Linked DNA regions of Anolis sagrei. The protein of the gene in region 1 interacts with the protein of each later gene in a pairwise test. Links are inferred from orthologs where the notes say so. Each region holds a gene or a part of one and is shown in the gene's direction. Other genes may lie near its edges. The genes, in order: GNB5 and GNG3.

Region 1 (9,214 bases):
ACGAAGGAATGGAATCAGACCTGGCCACATAGAACTCCTATGACCAACAGAAAATGCTAGAACGGCTTGGTGGGCATTGACCTTAAGTTTTAGAGTTGTAGTTCACCTAAATCCAGAGAGCACTATGGACTCAAACAATGATGGATCTGGACCAAACTTGGCACGGACACTCAATATGTGCAAATGTGAACTCTGGTGGAGTTTGGGGAAAATAGACCTTGACATTTGGGAGTTGTAGTTGCTGGGATTTATAGTTCACCTAAAATCAAAGAGCATTCTGAACCGCACCAATGATAGAATTGGGCCAAACTTCCCACACAGAACCCCATGACCAACAGGAAATATTGTATATTCTGATGGTCTTTGGGGACCCCTCTGCAGGGGTGGCTCAACCCATTATGCAAAGTAAGCATTTGCAGTGGAGTTGATTTTGCCCAGGGGCGCTCTTGAGGCGCTCTTGGGGGAAAATAGACTTTGACATATGCGAGTTGTAGTTACTGGGATGTATAGTTCACCTACAATCAAAGAGCATTCTGAACTCCACCAAAGATGGAATTGAACCAAATATGGCACACAGAACTCCCATGATGAACAGAAAATATGTATCAGTGATTGGTTGGGGGGTGGGCGCCAAAATACTGTTTGCTTACCGTTGAAATTTACCTAGGGCTGCCTCTACCCCTCTGATACCCCCTTGTGACCCCCCCCCCAGGGGTCCCGACCCCCAGGTTGAGAAACACTGCTCTAGAACATGGCCATATAGCCCGAAAAAAAACCTGCAACAACCCATTGTTGGCTCATGTTTAACTTGTTGTCCACGAGGACTCCAAGATCTTTTCCACACATATTGTTGTCAAGCCAGGCATCCTCCATCTTTGCATTTAATTTTTTTTCTGCCAATCCCCAAACTTCAAACTGGGCACATTTCTGTCAACGTTATGGACTGGTCTTCCTGGATTATTATTATTTTTCTTTCACCCATGACAGTTTCTTCCATGACTTGAGAAAAAAATATTCACTTCTGTGGAACCATAAACCAGCAGCAGGAAAGGTGTTGCAATACAAAACCCAGGCGTGTGCCTTCTGACTGTCTAAGCCGATTATCACAGCATTAGGATCGTCCTCTTATGTGTCCAGTTGAAACTGGTCAGTTCCTTGCCGTCCCGGCATCTTGAAGTCTTTGCTCTGATAAAAGAAGGTAAGGAGCATTTAAAATACTATTAATATCAAACATATCTAGAAGCCATAGAGAAATATTGAGATGATTGTTATATTGTTTATTATTTAGCATAAATACTTAAAAATATGTTTACTATAGATAGTTACTCAGAGCTGTGTCTTCTTTGATTGAGGTAACAAAGTGACTGCTTTCTTGAATTTTGTGTAGAGTCGTGAAGTATCTGTTTAAAATCCTGAAAGATGATGCTGTCAAGGTGATGCATGCCATAGGCCAGCAAATATGGAAAACACAAGAATGGCCTTCAGACTGGAAAAATATAATAATAATAATAATAATAATAATAATAATAATAATAATAATAACAATACTGTATTTATACCCCACCACCATCTCCCCAGTGGGGACTCAGAGCGGCTTACATGAGGCCAAGCCCGAACAACAAATTACAATAAAATAAAACCAAAACACAACCAAAAATGCAAACAGTAAACAACAACATCATAATAAAATAAACATGTAAATATATAACAATATAAAATTACAATAGACGCAATCACAATAACAATGGATGGGCTACATGTAATGATTAAAAGAGAGACTAATTAAAACTTTTAAATGCTTGTATGTTATTGTTCATTGTTATTGTTTATTGTTTATTTTTGTTTTGAGATTTATTTTACTGTTTTGTATTGATTATTTTGTTACTGCTGTCGTTTTATTGATGTACTGCAGGCTTGGCCTCATGTAAGCTGCACCGAGTCCCTTGGGGAGATGGTAGCAGGGTACAAATAAAGTTTTATTATTATTATTATTTTAAAACTCAGGCGAGATAAAAAAGAGACAGATTATTTGCGGAGGAGGGCTCATTATAGTGGGGGTTGTGGAATCAAGCTTTCCCACAGAGCGGGGGACAACATATATGCCAATGACAGAAGGTTGAGGCTAAGCAGTAGTCTGGGATTGTATACATACTCCAAAGGCGCAGCGGGAGAGCCAGGTTTTAAGGTCCTTTTTAAAGGTTTGTAGGGTAGGGGCTTCCCTAATTTCTCCAGGTAGTGAGTTCCAAAGTCGGGGGGCCACAGAGGAGAAAGCTCTCTCCCTAGTGCTTACCGGGCGAGCTTGTGAAGCTGGCAGGGGCAAAAGAAGGGCCTCCCCAGATAAATCAACTTCTATCCCCATATCAACAAAGGGAAATGCTAAAGACTGCTCAAACTTCCGCATAGTGGCTCTTCTTTCTCATGCCAGGAAGGGAATGCTCAAGATCCTGCAAGGAAGACTCCAGCAAGACATGGAGAGAGAGTTGCCAGATGGACGAGCTGGGAAAGACAGAGGAACCAGAGACCAGATTGACAATATCTGGATGCTGGAGAATGGAGAAAGGCAGGGAGTTTCAGAAAAACATCTATTTCTGTTTCATTGACTATTCTAAAGCCTTTGACTGTGTGGATCATCATAAATTGTGGCATGTTCTTGGTGGTATGGGCATACCAAATCACCTTGTCTTTCTCCTGAGGGATCTGTATAAGGACCAAGTAGCAACAGTAAGAACTGACCACGGAACAACAGATTGGTTCAAGATTGGGAAAGGCGCACGGCAGGGTTGTATCCTCTCACCCAACCTATTCAACTTGTATGCAGAACACATCATGCAAGGATGTGCAGAGCTTGACGAAGGCAAGGCTGGGGTGAAAATTGCTGAAAGAAACATTAACAACCTTAGATATGCAGATGACACCACTTTGATGACCGAAAGCGAGGAGGAGCTGAGGAGCCTTCTAATCAAGATGAAAGAAGAAAATGCAAACGCTGGGTTGAAGCTAAACATAAAAAAACAAGATTATGGCAACAAGAACGATTGACAACTGGGAAATAGAGGGAGAAAACGTGGAGGCAGCAACAGACTTTATATTTCTAGGTGCAAAGATGAGTGCAGACACAGAGTGCAGCCAGGAAATCAGGAGATGCTTACTTTTCGGGAGGAGAGCAAGGACCAATGTCGACAAAATAGTGAAGAGTAGAGACATCACACTGGCAACAAAGATCCGCATAGTCAAAGCAATGGTATTTCCCATAGTCACCTACGGATGTGAGAGCTGGACCATAGGGAAGACTGAGCGAAGGAAGAGAGATGCTTTTGAACTGTGGTGCTGGAGGAAAGTTCTGAGAGTGCCTTGGACCGCAAGAAGATCCAACCAGTCCATACTTCAGGAAATAAAACCCAACTGCTCACTGGAGGGAAGGAAAGTAGAGGCCAAGATGAAGTACTTCGGCCACATCATGAGAAGAAAGGAAAACTTAGAGAAGACAATGACGCTGGGGAAAATAGAAGGAAAAAGAAAGAGGGGGTGACCAAGGGCAAGATGGATGGATGGCATCCTTGAAGTGACTGGATTGACCTTGAAGGAGCTGGGGATGGTGACGGCCGACAGGGAGCTCTGGCCTGGGATGGTCCATGAGGTCACAAAGAGTCAGAAACGACTGAACGAATGAACAACAACAATGAAGTATCATATTCTTATTCCTCGTTGGGAGTCTTATGATATGACTTACGCTCCTTGGATCAAAGATCAGGGATTGCCAATATGCCTCAGGGATGGACAGACTTGTGGGATTTAATTTGTTTTTCCTTTTTGCTTAGAAGCCAGATCTGCCAAATAAAACCTAGTGCAAAGAATGTACATTTAGACTCAAATAATTCTACATCCATTAATATATTTTAAGCACCCAAAGTGAAGTATACCTGTATTTACATGCAAGGAAAAAACCACTGAGATCTCACAACAGATCTTCTGAGGATGCCTGCCACAGATGCAGGCGAAATGTCAGGGGAGAATGCTTCTAGAACATAGCCATACTGCCCGAAAAACCTACAACCCCCCCAAACCCACTGCCAATTACCCAATTTGTAAAAAAGGCAATGTTTTAAAAATGCTACAGAACAATCTGTGTTGACATTTTACAAGGCCTTTATCCTTCTCTGCCAAAGAGTGCTATGCCTCACCAAACTGTAATTCCCAGGATTACATTGCATTGAAACATTGCCTTTAAAGTACGAGTGTTATCCAGAAAGTAAGGTTACAAGGCACGTTAACTCCATGGGGAATTTTCTTGGGGGAAATTGGTATAGCAGGAAGTCAGTGGAAGAGAACGAGCAGTGCCAGTCGTCAGTAGCTCATCGACTAACTTTGTGGTAAAGGTTAGAGATGAGCTTCCTCATTCCATTTCCCTCCAAGTGCATTTAAACATGGCCTTCAAAGTTCGAATGTTATTCGGAAAGTAAGGTTACAAGGCACGTTAATCCTCATGGGGAATTTTCTTGGGGGAAATTGGTATCACTGCTGTGTAGCAGGAAGACAGCGGAAGAGAACGAGCAGTGCCAGTCGTCAGTAGCTCATCGACTAACTTTGTGGTAAAGGTTAGAGATGAGCATCCTCGTTCCGAAGTTTGCACTGTAATGTGCGAAGTTTGCGCTGTAATGTGATACCTAAAAGCTAAGGGCATGAACGCAGCTATGATGCATCGCAAAATCATTTCAGTTTATGGAGAGGACGTAATGTCAAGACAGCATGGGACAAAATGGGTATGGAATATATTGTAAGACCATGACAAAAATTCACAGAGCTGTCCAAAACAAACACCGTGGGATGCTGACGGTGGGAGTTATGACAATGCCTGTCCGCACACCGCTCATACAACACAAAAGTTGCTGACTTTGTTTGGTTGGGATGTTTTAACCCACCCTGATCTCACACCCAGTGAGTCTGTTCACTAAATTGAAGGAACACCGTGGTGGAAAACACTTTTCCGATGCCGAGGAGGTGAAAATCGAAGTGACAAACTGGCTGAAAAAGATGGAGGGAAACTTCTGTGACACAGGCATCAAAAACTCATCCCACGGAAGACAAAATATATTGAACTGAATGGTGATTATGTAGGAAAATAATGTAATACCTAGACTACAATCTATGTAAGTGTTATTAAAATACATTCATTCTTTATATTTTAAAAAAATCCTTTCTGGATTTATTTAAACTTTCTGGATAATCCTCATAGTTCACATTGCGTTAGTTCTAAGTCTGTGGGAGACCACGGTTTGAATCCCTTCTTGGCCACTGAAACCCACTCTCTGCTCTTGGGCCTTTTGGCTTCTTTTATCCTCAGAGATGGCAAACTTCCTCTGAACAAAGCTTGCCAGAAAACTCTGAAATGGTTACCTTAGGGAAGCCGTGAGCTGGAACTACGTGAAGGCAACAAATAACAAAGTTGTAATAATCAATTGTGCCATAATTGGCGGTTGTCTTTAGGCATCTTGAACACAAGTGGCAGGAATTCAGAATTTTCCTGCATTCAAAGAGCGGCGTTTACTCTGCCTGCAGGAGTTGCAGATTCTTTAAGACACTTGAAAGGCAGCGCTAGGTCAAGACATTTTTCACCTGGGGTGTAATTTTAACCTCAAGCTGGTTATGTTATTTTTGCAGAACTGCAAGTAGTCCTTCACATCCTTGACAGTTAAAACACAACGAAGCAAATAACAATTTGCTGGACTTTTAAATTGTTAGTGCCAGTGCTGTTTAAAATGCAAAGGCTTTGTGCCTCACGTCTAGCATCCACCTGCTTTCATTCTCTCTTTTCTCTCTCTCCCTCTCTCTCTTCCAGCTCCAGCACTTCGCAAAGATGTGTGACCAGACGTTTTTGGCCAATGTGTTTGGTCCATGCGACAAATGTGCCCAAAACCGGGCCCTCCGAGAGATTTACCGCAAAAATGAGAAACTCAGCTACTGCTCACTATGTGTGGGAATGGTACGGGACGGCATCTATTTTCATTGCGGGAAGGGTGGAATATATCTTGCAATCTCCTTTGAATGCTTTAAATATTTAAACCAGTGGTTCTCAACCTTCCTAATGCCACGACCCCTTAATACAGTCCCTCATGTTGTGGTGACCCCCAACCATAATATTGTTTTCGTTGCTACTTCATAACAGTCATTTTACTACTGTTATGAATTGTAATGTAAATATCTGATATGCAGGATGCATTTTCATTCACTGGACCAAACTGGGCACAAATACCCAATACACCCAAATGTGAATGCTAGTGGGGTTGAGAGAGGATTGATTTAGTAATTTGGGAGTTGAAGTTGCTGGGATTTATAGTTCACTTATAATCAAAGAGCATTCTGAACTCCACCAGCGATGGATTTGAACCAAACTTGGCTCCCATAACCAATGGAAAACACTGGAAGGGTTTGATGGGCATTGAGTTTGGGAGTTGTAGTTCACCTATATCCAGAGAGCACTGTGGACTCACGCAATGGTAGATCTGGACCAAACTTGGCACAAATACTCAATATAATAATAATAATAATAATAATAATAATTGGAAGCAAACCCCAGTGGATACCAGGGGCCACTGTAATGTAAAAGAAATCCCAAATTTGCACGGAAAAATGCTGCACTCGCAGAGCTCAGGCGCTGTTGTATTTAATAAATAATAATTTATTATCTATAGTAATATCTATAGATTCGGGTATCTACGGGGGGGGGGGGGTTGGAAGCAAACCCTACAGGGGGGGGGGGGTTGGAAGCAAACCCCAGTGGATACCAGGGGCCATTGTAATGTGAAAAAAACCCAAGTTTGCATGGAAAAATGCTGCACTTGCAGAGCTCTGGCGATGTATTTAATAAATAATAATAACAACAAGACTTGAATATCTATAGATTTTGGTATCTACGGGGGACTGGTAGCAAACCCCAGTGCATACCAGCGGCCACTGTAATGTAAAAGAAACCCCAAAAATGCTGCACTTGCAGAGCTCAGGCAGTGTTGTATTTAATAAATAATAATAATAATAATAATGGGACTTGAACATCTATAGATTTTGGTATCTACGGGGGGGCTGGAAGCAACCCCCAGTGGATACCAGGGGCCACTGTAATGTAAAAGAAACCCCCAAAATGCTGCACTTGCAGAGCTCAGCCGGTTTTGTATTTAATAAATAATAATAACAATAGGACTTGAATATCTATAGATTTTGGTATCTGGGGGGGGGGGGGGCTTGAAGCAAACCCCAGTGGATACCAGGGGACACTTTAATGTGAAAGAAACCCCAAATTTTTATGGAAAAATGCTGCACTCGCAGAGCTCAGGTGGTGTTGTATTTAATACATAATAGTAATAATAATAATAATAAGAAGAAGAATAGGACTTGAATATCTATAGATTTTGGTATCTACGGGGGACTGGTAGCAAACCCCAGTGGATACCAGGGGCCACTGTAATGTAAAAGAAACCCCAAAAATGCTGCACTCGCAGAGCTCAGATGCTGTTGTATTTAATGTATTATTATTATTAATAATAATAATTAATAATAATAATAATAATAATAATAATTCAAGTCCTATTATTAATAATAATAGGACTTGAATTTCTATAGATTTTGGTATCTACGGTGGACTGGTAGCAAACCCCAGTGGATACCAGGGGCCATTGTAATGTAAAAGAAGCCCCAAAAATGCTGCACTCGCAGAGCTCAGGAGGTGTTGTATTTAATAAATAATAATAGGACATGAATATCTATAGACTTGGGTATCTATGGGGTGCTGGAAGCAAACCCCAGTGGATACCAGGGGCCACTGTAATGTGAAAGAAACCCCAAATTTGCATGGAAAAATGCTGCACTTGCAGAGCTCAGGCGGTGTTGTTTTTTAATAATAATAATAATAATAATAGGACTTGAGTATCTATAGATTTTGGTATCTACGAGGGACTGGTAGCAAACCCCAGTGCATACCAGGGGCCACTGTAATGTAAAAGAAACCCCAAGTTTACATGGAAAAATGCTGCACTTGGAGAGCTCAGGCGGTGTTGTGTTTAATAAATAATAATAAGAATAATAGTACTTGAATATCTATAGATTCGGGTATCTACGGGGGGTTGGAAGCAAACCCCAGTGGATACCAGGGGCCACTGTAACGTAAAAGAAACCCCAAGTTTGCATGGAAAAATGCTGCACTTGCAGAGCTCAGGCGGTGTTGTATTTAATTTATTATTATTGTTGTTGTTATTATTATTAATTAACAATAATAATTAAATAATAATAATAATAATTCAAGTCCTATTATTAATAATAATAGGACTTGAATTTCTATAGATTTTGGTATCTATGGGGGTCTGGAAGCAAACCCCAGTGGATACCAGGGGCACTGTAATGTAAAAGAAACCCCCAAAAATGCTGCACTCGCAGAGCTCAGGTGGAGTTGTATTTATTAAATAATAATAATAATAATAATAATAATAATAATAGGACTTTGATATCTATAGATTTTGGTATCTGGTGGGGGGGGGGGGGCTGGAAGCAAACCCCAGTGGATACTAGGGACCACTGTAATGTAAAAGAAACCCCAAAAATGCTGCACTTGCAGAGCTCAGCCGGTTTTGTATTTAATAAATAATAATAACAATAGGACTTGAATATCTATAGATTTTGGTATCTGGGGGGGGGGGGGGGGCTTGAAGCAAACCCCAGTGGATACCAGGGGACACTTTAATGTGAAAGAAACCCCAAATTTTTATGGAAAAATGCTGCACTCGCAGAGCTCAGGTGGTGTTGTATTTAATACATAATAGTAATAATAATAATAACAATAAGAATAGGACTTGAATTTCTATAGATGTTTGTATCTATGGGGGTCTGGAAGCAAACCCCAGTGGATACCAGGGGCACTGTAATGTAAAAGAAACCTCAAAAATGCTGCACTCGCAGAGCTCAGATGGTGTTGTATTTAATGTATTAATAAATAATAATAATAATAATAATAATAATAATAATAATTCAAGTCCTATTATTAATAAGCAAACCCCAGTGGATACCAGGGGCCACTGCAATGTAAAAGAAACTCCAAAAATGCTGCACTCGCAGAGCTCAGGCAGTGTTGTATTTATTAAATAATAATAATAATAATAATAATAATAATAATAATAATAATAGGAAGCAAACCCCAGTGGATACCAGGGGCCACTGTAATGTAAAAGAA
Region 2 (9,020 bases), on another chromosome or scaffold:
AAAATGCCTCTAGAACATGGCCGTATAGCCCGGAAAAACCTACAACAACCCATTATTATTATTAATTATTATTATTATTAATATTATTATAGAATCAGAGTTTGATGGGACCTTCAAAGGCCATCCAGTTCGACCCCATTCTTCCAGGCAGGGACACCATCAAAGCCCTCCCAACAGATGGCCATCCATCCAGCCTATGCTTAAACACCTCTAGAGAAGGACACTCCATTTAAATATGGCTCATCCTTGCTAATGCCAGGGTCAAGAGAAACGCCCAGGCCCCAGTCACAAAACAGAGAGAACATTAAATGGAGCCTCTTTCTCTGGGAGGCCATCTGTCGGGAGACCTTTGATTGTGTCTCCCCGCATGGCAGAATAGGGGTTGGGCTAGGCGAGCTGCGGGGAGGGAAAATGTGAGAAGAAGTAAACCTGAGTTGGTCGCAGGGTCGCAGCAGCAGCCACCGCCTCTTCCTGCCTCTCCTCCTCTCCCCAAATCCAGCTGAGCCTCTTCCGGGTTTAAGCCCCGCCCCCTTTGGGGAGGGAGGGGGACGAAGGGGGCGGGCTCTTCTGAGAGCGGATGGCTCTGCTCACAAGCATCTTGCAAGTCACGTGGCCTCAGGGATGCAGCCCACTCGCCTCCCGTCGCCATGGCAACGGAGCAGGGCCCGCTGTGGTCCAGAGCAGCATCCTCTGATGGGCAGGCTGCCTCTCAAGGGCCCCATCATGCCCATCAATGGGGATGGGCCTGGGACCCAAACCAGTCTCTGCCCACTCAGGGTCTTTGTAGGAGAACAGCCTCCATTATTATTATTATTATTATTATTATTATTATTATTAGGAGCCCCCCCTCCCCGTGGCAGAGCGGGTTAAACCACTGAGCTGCTGAACTTGCTGACCAAATGTGAGTAGAGCAATAGGTTCTGCAGAGCAGGGTGAGCTCCCACTGTTAGCCCCAGCTTCTGCCAACCTAGCAGTTTCCAAACATGCAGATGTGAGTAGAGCAATAGGTACCGTGGAGCAGGGTGAGCTCCCGCTGTTAGACCCAGCTTCTGCCAACCTAGCAGTTCGCAAACATGCAAATGTGGGTAGAGCAATAGGTTCTGCAGAGCGAGGTGAGCTCCTGCTGTTAGCCCCAGCTTCTGCCAACTTAGCAGTTTGCAAGCATGCATATGTGAGTAGAGCAATAGGTACTGTGGAGCGGGATGAGCTCCCACTGTTAGCCCCAGCTTCTGCCAACCTAGCAGTTCGCAAACATGCAAATGTGGGTAGAGCAATAGGTACCGCGGAGCAGTGTGAGCTCCTGCTGTTAGCCCCAGCAGAAGCCAACCTAGCAGTTCGCAAACATGCAAATGAGAGTAGAGCAATAGGTACTGTGGAGCGGGGCGAGCTCCCACTGTTAGCCCCAGCTTCAGCCAGCCTAGCACTTCAAAAACATGCAAATGTGAGTAGAGCAATAGGTACCGCAGAGCAGTGTGAGCTCCTGCTGTTAGCCCCAGCTTCTGCCAACCTAGCAGTTCGCAAACATGCAGATGTGGGTAGAGCAATAGGTTCTGCAGAGTGGGGTGAGCTCCCGCTGTTAGCCCCAGCTTCTGCCAACCTAGCAGTTCGCAAACATGCAAATATGGGTAGAGCAATAGGTTCTGCAGAGTGGGGTGAGCTCCCGCTGTTAGCCTCAGCTTCTGCCAACCTAGCAGTTCGCAAACATGCAAATGTGGGTAGAGCAATAGGTTCTGCAGAGCGAGGTGAGCTCCTGCTGTTAGCCCCAGCTTCTGCTAACCTAGCAGTTTGCAAGCATGCAGATGTGAGTAGAGCAATAGGTACCACGGAGCGGGGTGAGCTCCCACTGTTAGCAGCTTCTATGCAGCTTCTGCCAACCTAGCACTTCGAAAACATGCAAATGTGAGTAGAGCAATAAATCAGCAGAGTCTGATTTAAACTGGGTTATATCAGTCCCCAATGCCAGATAATCTGGGATAAATAAAAAACCTGGGATTACATCCTGGGATATAGGGCATGTCTGGAAGGGCCCATAGTAGAACACATGCTGAACAAGGTGATGCTGCAGCTCAAAAGGCCAACGTGATACTAAAGTACCAAACGTAGGCATTCACAGTTATAGGATGGCTTGGAAATAGCCCACGTGAAAGGGATCTGGGTGTCTTAATATGCCACAAGCTGAACATTAGGTTAACAGCTAAAAAGGCCAATGCAACTCAGGCCAGGTCGTCCCTGGACAGATAGGGAGCCAGATGCCTAGCCTGACACAGATGGAAAAATGCAACTCTGCTCGCAGTGGAAGCCTGGGCCTCCACTGTCAGCAGAGGGTCTAAAAAGATTTATTTATTTATTATTTATTTCGAGGTTTTATATACCGACCCTCTCACCTTCAAAGAGGGATTCGGACCGGTTCACAACATGTGTTAACATACAAAAAAATACAATAACAACACAATGCCACTTCATTACACGGTTAAAATATCAGCACTATACACGTTAAAACATTATCATCACAGTTAAAAGAGCCAACTCGTCCGACACCATCACAATCCCATTCATCATCCTCCTTTCATGTGGGCAAAAAATTAAATCAGTTGTCAAATGCCGCGTTCCACAACCAGGTCTTTGTTAGTTTCCTGAACGTCATGAGGGAGGGGGCAGTTCTGATCTCTAATGGCAGGGAGTTCCAAAGTCGAGGGGCCACCATTGAGAAGGCCCTGTCCCTCGTCCCCACCAGCCGTGCTTGTGCAGGCGGAGGGACCGAGAGCAGGGCCCCTCCAGACGATCTTAGTGGTCTTGATGGTTCGTAGGGGAGAATATGTTCGGAGAGGTAAACAGGGCCGGAGTTGTTTAGGGCTTTATAGGTTAACACCAGCACTTTGAATTGTGCTCGGAAGCTAATCGGCAGCCAGTGGAGTTCAAGTAAGAGCGGAGTGGTGTGCTCCCTGTACCCCGCACCCGTTAGCAATCTGGCTGCCACGCGTTGTACTTGCTGCAGCTTCCGGGCAGTCTTCAGAGGCAACCCCACATAGAGAGCGTTGCAGTAATCTAAGCGGGATGTAACCAAAGCGTGTACTACCGTGGCCAAGTCAGCCCTCCCAAGGTACGGACGCAGCTGGCGCACAAGTTTTAATTGTGCGAATGCTCCCCTGACCACCGCTGAAACCTGGGGTTCCAGGCTCAGCGATGAATCCAGGAGAACTCCCAGACTGCGTACCTGTGCTTTTAGGGGGAGTGTGACCCCGTCCAGCACAGGCTGTAAGACTCCCAGACTCTTTACCAAAGATGACGGGCATAATGTCACACCATCCAGGGTAGGCAACCAGATCACTCCTCCGTCTGGGCGACCCAACCAAAGGATCTCCGTCTTCGCTGGATTCACCCTCAACCTGCTGGCACACAACCATCCAGTAATGACCTCAAGGCATTGATGGAAATTATCGAGTATGGAGTCTAGCTTGCTGCTGACCTATGCAACAGTTGCATCTGTCAAGTAGGAAATTTAGGTACTGCTTTATGTGGAGAGACTAATTTACAATGCCATAAAAATCCTTCCAGCAGAGTGCAGAAGAATGAGGAAGTACTCCATCAAAGGACTCGGTGTCACAAGTGGACGGTGAAACGGCAGTGATGGGAGTGATGGGGATGAAGAGGAACCACTGGATTGGACCAAGGTACAGGAGGTTCAGAATGTGTGTACTCAACCAACGTTTAGTGGCACTTTTGTGGGGTTTTCTGGTGACGGGGATTGGCAATCTGGTGATACTGTGGATTCATGGGGAGACCTAAGTCTTGACAAGAAGTGAAAGAGTTGGAGGGATGGGCATTGGCGTTCAGCTGTAGAGGCTAAGCCAGCTGATAGCAATGAGGACGGGATGGAGGGCAGCTCATCATCGGATGATGAGCTGTAAGATAAATAAAGGCACTGGAATTATAGAACTTTGCTTGGTTGGTTTCGTGACTTGGGTCTTGTCGCTGCCGCTTTCCTGTTGGGCTTGGGTCCTGGATCTGCAGGTTGCTGTTTGCTTTGTTTGCTTGGATTCTCGTAAGTGCGGATTTCCTCTCTCCTTGACTTCGGACTGTTTTGACGATACGGCCTTGTGGAATTTGGAACTTTCAACTGAGATTTCTTCGACTTTGGACTGCTACTGGACAACGGCTTATCTTCACAGCTCTTTGTTTGCTTGTTTTCTTTGAACTGTGAGATTTTGGTGTGTTTTGCACAAACTCTTGTTTAATCCGGGGTTTTTTTGCCAGTTTAATCTGGCTTATTTTCTGAGTTCGTTTTTCAAGCTGTAAATTGCTACAAACTTTGAGTTTTGACCAGAGGCACTGAAGCAAGTGTCTCTGGGTCCTATTTACTTTGCTTTAATAAACTATTGTTTGGACTATACTCCTGTGTCTGGCTCTTTAAGGCATCTGGATTCCGACACCAAACACTTCACCTGAGAGCCAGCAAAATGTCCTTTCTTTCCTTATCAAAAAGGATGGTGAAATCACATATTGTCATAGATTTTGGAACCAAGAGAGAGAAGAGGAAGGAAGAGAAAGAGCAAGAAAAAGCAAGCAGTGCACTGATGTCAGATTTCCAAATGAAAGAGGCAATGATGATGATGATGCTGCTATGTACTGCAGCTTTCATGTGTTCGTACCATTACCTGCATAGGGGGTGCATTCACCCGAACCTCTATGTTTCTGGTCCTGTTTGTGTGCTGCGTCCTCTTTGCCTCTGTGCTTCCTCCTTCGTGGCTTCCTTTTGGTGGCAAAACCACACTTTTGGAATGTATTAAAAAGTAAACAAATCTCTTGCTTCCCCTTGAAGCCTATCTGGGTGTGGGTACTGCCACCCCTTTCTCTGACACAGAGATGGTTCGGTCCCAGCATTGAGGGGTTTTGCAGCATCCTCAAGGTGCTGGACTATTGAACTAAGCCTAGGAAAGGTGAGCAGAGCCATTTGGGGGAGACAGCGAGGCATCAATTTGGTGGCAGAGGAGGAGAACCAAGCAGGCAAAGGCTGCCAGAACCCTCCCTTTTCCTCGCTCTACAATTTCCCAGTATTGATAGGGGATAGAGAAGAGTCGCCCACCTTATCCAGAGCTTCAAAGGGCTGAAGAATACCATTTTGATCTCCTTCTTTTTGTCCAGGTAATAGCAACGAAAGGGTTTGTCTTGGAGGTTGGGGCTCAGTCCAGGTTGGAGGCTTATATGCATGAGATCAATGGTAGGTGAAGACTCTCTAGGGAAAGTGGCTTTTTTTTTTAAGGCAAACATAAGGATCTGGGTTGCATGGCTACTCTATATCATTTTGTATCTGTTCTAACAGAGACAAAGACAATATATGCCTTGGCTGGGTGGTTTGGGTGGGGTGGGATGGAGAGAAGCATTTCTGTTTTCCTCTCCCTGTCTCTCATTTGTTCCCTCCCCATCACCTCCTACAGTTTAGGAATAGTATTACTGCATGAGTCTCTATTTCTGTGTGAAGGCAGCCTTCAGAATGGCCACCAGAATAGGCTCCTTTCTCAGTGGACGCAATAGGAGATGCATATAGAATCCTAGACTTGGAAGAGACCCAAGGGCCATCCAGTCCAACCCTGTTCCTTGCAGGAAAAACACATTCAAAGCCCTCCCAACAGATGGCCATCCAGCTTCGGAATCATAGAACCCTAGTGTTGGAAGAGACCCCAGGGCCATCCAGTCCAATCCTCTTCCTTGCAGGAAAAGCACATTCAAAGCCCTCCCGGCAGATGGCCATCCAGCCTCAGAGTCATAGAACCCTAATGTTGGAAGAGACCCCAGGGCCATCCAGTTCAACCCTGTTCCATACAGGAAAAACACAATCCAAGCCCTCCTGATGGATGTCAGACAGAAGAGAGAATGGGGTTGGATTGAATCGTAGAATCATAAGAGTTGGGAAAGGCCACTCTGGGTGGCCATCTGGCAGGAGAGCTTTGATTGTGTCTTTCTGCCTGGCTGAATGGGGTTGGACTGGATGGCCCTTCCAAATCTAGGATGATGTCATTCAAGCGAAGCCTCTGTCATGCATGAAGACACAATCAAAGCCCTCCCGACGGATTGCCATCCAGTCTCTACTTAAACACCCTCCAAAGTTGGAGACCCCACTGGACTGCAAGGCAACAACATATTCCACCACTAAACAGCACTTACTGTAAGGAAGATCTTCCTAATGTTTAGGTGAAATCTGCTTCCTTGCAAATTGAATCCATTGCTCTGTTGCCCCTTCTAGAATGTGAGCTCCTTTCAAATATTTATTTATTATTTATTTATTATTATTTATTATTTACTTTACTTGTATACCGCTCTTCTCAGCCATTAGGCGACTCAGAGCGGTTAACAACCAGTATCAGCAATACAGTACAAACAACTATTCTATTTGTTTACCTCAAAAGGGACTCAAGGCAATGGGTCAAACCCTTGTGCCAACAGGTCGAAGGTTCAAATCCAGAGTAAGCGCGAATGAGCTCCCTCTGTCAGCTCCAGCTCCCCATGCAGGGACATGAGAGAAGCCTCCCACAAGGATGTTAAAACATCAAAACACCTGGGCATCCCCTGGGCAACGTCCTTGCAGACAGCCAATACTCTCACACCAGAAGCGACTAGCGGTTTCTCAAGTTGCTCCTGACACAGAAAAAAAAAACCTATTCACTGCCTTTGGACAACAAACAGAATACACTTAAATTAGAAATTAAAATTAAATACACATTAAAACATGTAAAACATTGAATTCAGTATTAAAATCATACTATCCTCAATAATAATATGGATATTTAAACATGGTGGTCATGCCCCCTCTCAGCCTTGATCTCAATACTAAATATACCAAGCTCCTTAAGCCGTTCCTCATAGGAAGAAGATGAGTGGCCATGGGAAGAAAAGGAATCGCTCTAATAATTGAGTTCTAAAGGTTCGTTTTCCTGTGACAGATTATCTTTCAAAGGGTAAAGTATGTTTTCTAAAAAAAAATCTCTGTGGGAGGAATGTGCATTTGTTTACATTTAACATTGGGGAATGGCAGTGGTAGGTCGTTGCTATGGTTAGCATATGAATAAGGGTAGGCAGCTTCCTTCATTATACTAGCAATATGATTATATATTAATTGATTGCAAATATACAAGAAGGAGCCCCCAGTGGTGCAGCGGATTAAAGCGCTAAGCTGCTGAACTTGCAGACCAAAAGGTCACAGGTTTGAATCTGGGGAGTGGGGTGAGCTCCTGCTGTTAGCCCCAGCTTCTTCTAACCTAGTAGTTCAAAAGCATGCAAATGTGAGTAGAAAAAGGAAGAACAAGGAGGCGATAGGGCCTCTTTGAGGAGAAGATGGGGTAATGCTGACAGGGGATAAGGAAAAGGCAGAACTACTTAATGCCTTCTTTGCCTCAGTCTTCTCACAAAAAGAAAGTCATCCTCAACTTCAGCAAGATGGAGTGGATGAGGGATTAGAGGACATCCAACCCCAAACTGGGAAACAAGTCCTCCAGGAATACCTGGCCGCTCTAAATGAGTTCAAGTCCCCAGGGCCAGATCAACTACACCCAAGAGTATTGAAGGAACTAGCGGAAGTCATTTTGGAACCATTGGCAACCATCTTTAGAGTTCTTGGAGAACGGGAGAAGTTCCAGCAGATTGAAGGAGGGCCAATGTGGTCCCAATCTTCAAGAAGGGAAAAAAGGATGACCCAAACAATGACCAATGTCCGGTCAGCCTCATGTCGATACCAGGCAAGATTCTGGAAAAGATTGTTAAGGAAGTGGTCTGCAAACACTTAGAAACAAATGCGGTCATCGCTAATAGTCAACATGGATTTATCAAAAACAAGTCATGCCAGACTCATCTGATCTCTTTCTTCGATAGAGTTACAAGCTGGGTAGATGCGGGGAATGCCGTGGATGGAGCGTACCTGGATTTCAGGAAGGCCTTCGACAAGGTCCCCCATGACCTTCTGGCAAACAAACTAGTCCAATGTGGGCTAGGCAAAACTACGGTGAGGTGGATCCGTAATTGGCTGAATGGACGAACCCAGAGGGTGCTCACCAATGCTTCCTCTTCATCCTGGAAAGAAGTGACGCGCGGAGTGCCACAAGCAGGGTTCCGTCCTGGGCCCGGTCCTGATCAGGATCTTCATTAATGACTTAGACGAAGGGTTAGAAGGCAGGATAATCAAGTTTGCAGATGACACCAAATTGGGAGGGATAGCCAATACTCCAGAGGACAGGAGCAGGATTCAAAACGATCTTGACAGATTAGAGAGATGATGGGCCAAAACTAACAAAATGAAGTTCAACAGGGACAAATGCAAGATACTCCACTTAAGCAGGAAAAAAGGTAATGCAAAGATCCAGAATGGGGGACAATGCCTGGCTCGAGAGCAGTACGTGTGAAAAAGACCTTGGAATCCTCGTGGACAGCAAGTTAAACATGAGCCAACAATGTGATGTGGCGGCAAAAAAAGCCAATGGGATTTTGGCCTGCATCAAGAGGAGCATAGTGTTCAGATCTAGGGAAGTAATGCTACCCCTCTATTCCGCTTTAGTTAGACCACATCTGGAATATTGTGTACAATTCTGTGCACCACAATTGAAGATAAATGTTGACAAGCTGGAATGTGTCCAGAGGAGGGCGACTGAAATGATCAAGGGTCTGGAGAACAAGCCCTATGAGGAGTGGCTTAAGGAGCTAGGCATGTTTACCCTGAAGAAGAGAAGGCTGAGAGGAGATATGATAGCCATGTATAAATATGTGAGAGGAAGTCACAGGGAGGAGGGAGCAATCTTGTTTTTTGCTTCCCTGGAGACTAGGACGCGGAACAATGGCTTCAAACTACAAAAAGGAGATTCCATCTGAACATGAGGAAGAACTTCCTGACTGTGAGAGCCGTTCAGCAGTGGAACTCTCTGCCCCGGGGTGTGGTGGAGGCTCCTTCTTTGGAGGCTTTTGAGCAGAGGCTGGATGACTATCTGTCAGGGGTGATTTGAATGCAATATTCCTGCTTCTTGGCAGAATGGGGTTGG

Evidence for each region.
Region 2: the proteins of GNB5 (region 1) and GNG3 interact in a two-hybrid assay, tested with the Homo sapiens proteins (2 studies listed by BioGRID, with this or other methods). The link is inferred for Anolis sagrei from reciprocal best matches to the Homo sapiens genes GNB5 and GNG3.

The regions. Positions count from the first base shown.
Region 1 is NC_090029.1:20,396,243-20,405,456, forward strand, and holds the start of GNB5 (guanine nucleotide-binding protein subunit beta-5), read left to right. Parts: upstream 1-5,811; 5' UTR 5,812-5,854; coding exon 5,855-5,980; intron 5,981-9,214. UniProt on the Homo sapiens protein: Enhances GTPase-activating protein (GAP) activity of regulator of G protein signaling (RGS) proteins, such as RGS7 and RGS9, hence involved in the termination of the signaling initiated by the G protein coupled receptors (GPCRs) by accelerating the GTP hydrolysis on the G-alpha subunits, thereby promoting their inactivation.
Region 2 is NC_090032.1:13,056,827-13,065,846, reverse strand, and holds the start of GNG3 (guanine nucleotide-binding protein G(I)/G(S)/G(O) subunit gamma-3), read left to right. Parts: upstream 1-4,854; 5' UTR 4,855-5,142; intron 5,143-9,020. UniProt on the Homo sapiens protein: Guanine nucleotide-binding proteins (G proteins) are involved as a modulator or transducer in various transmembrane signaling systems.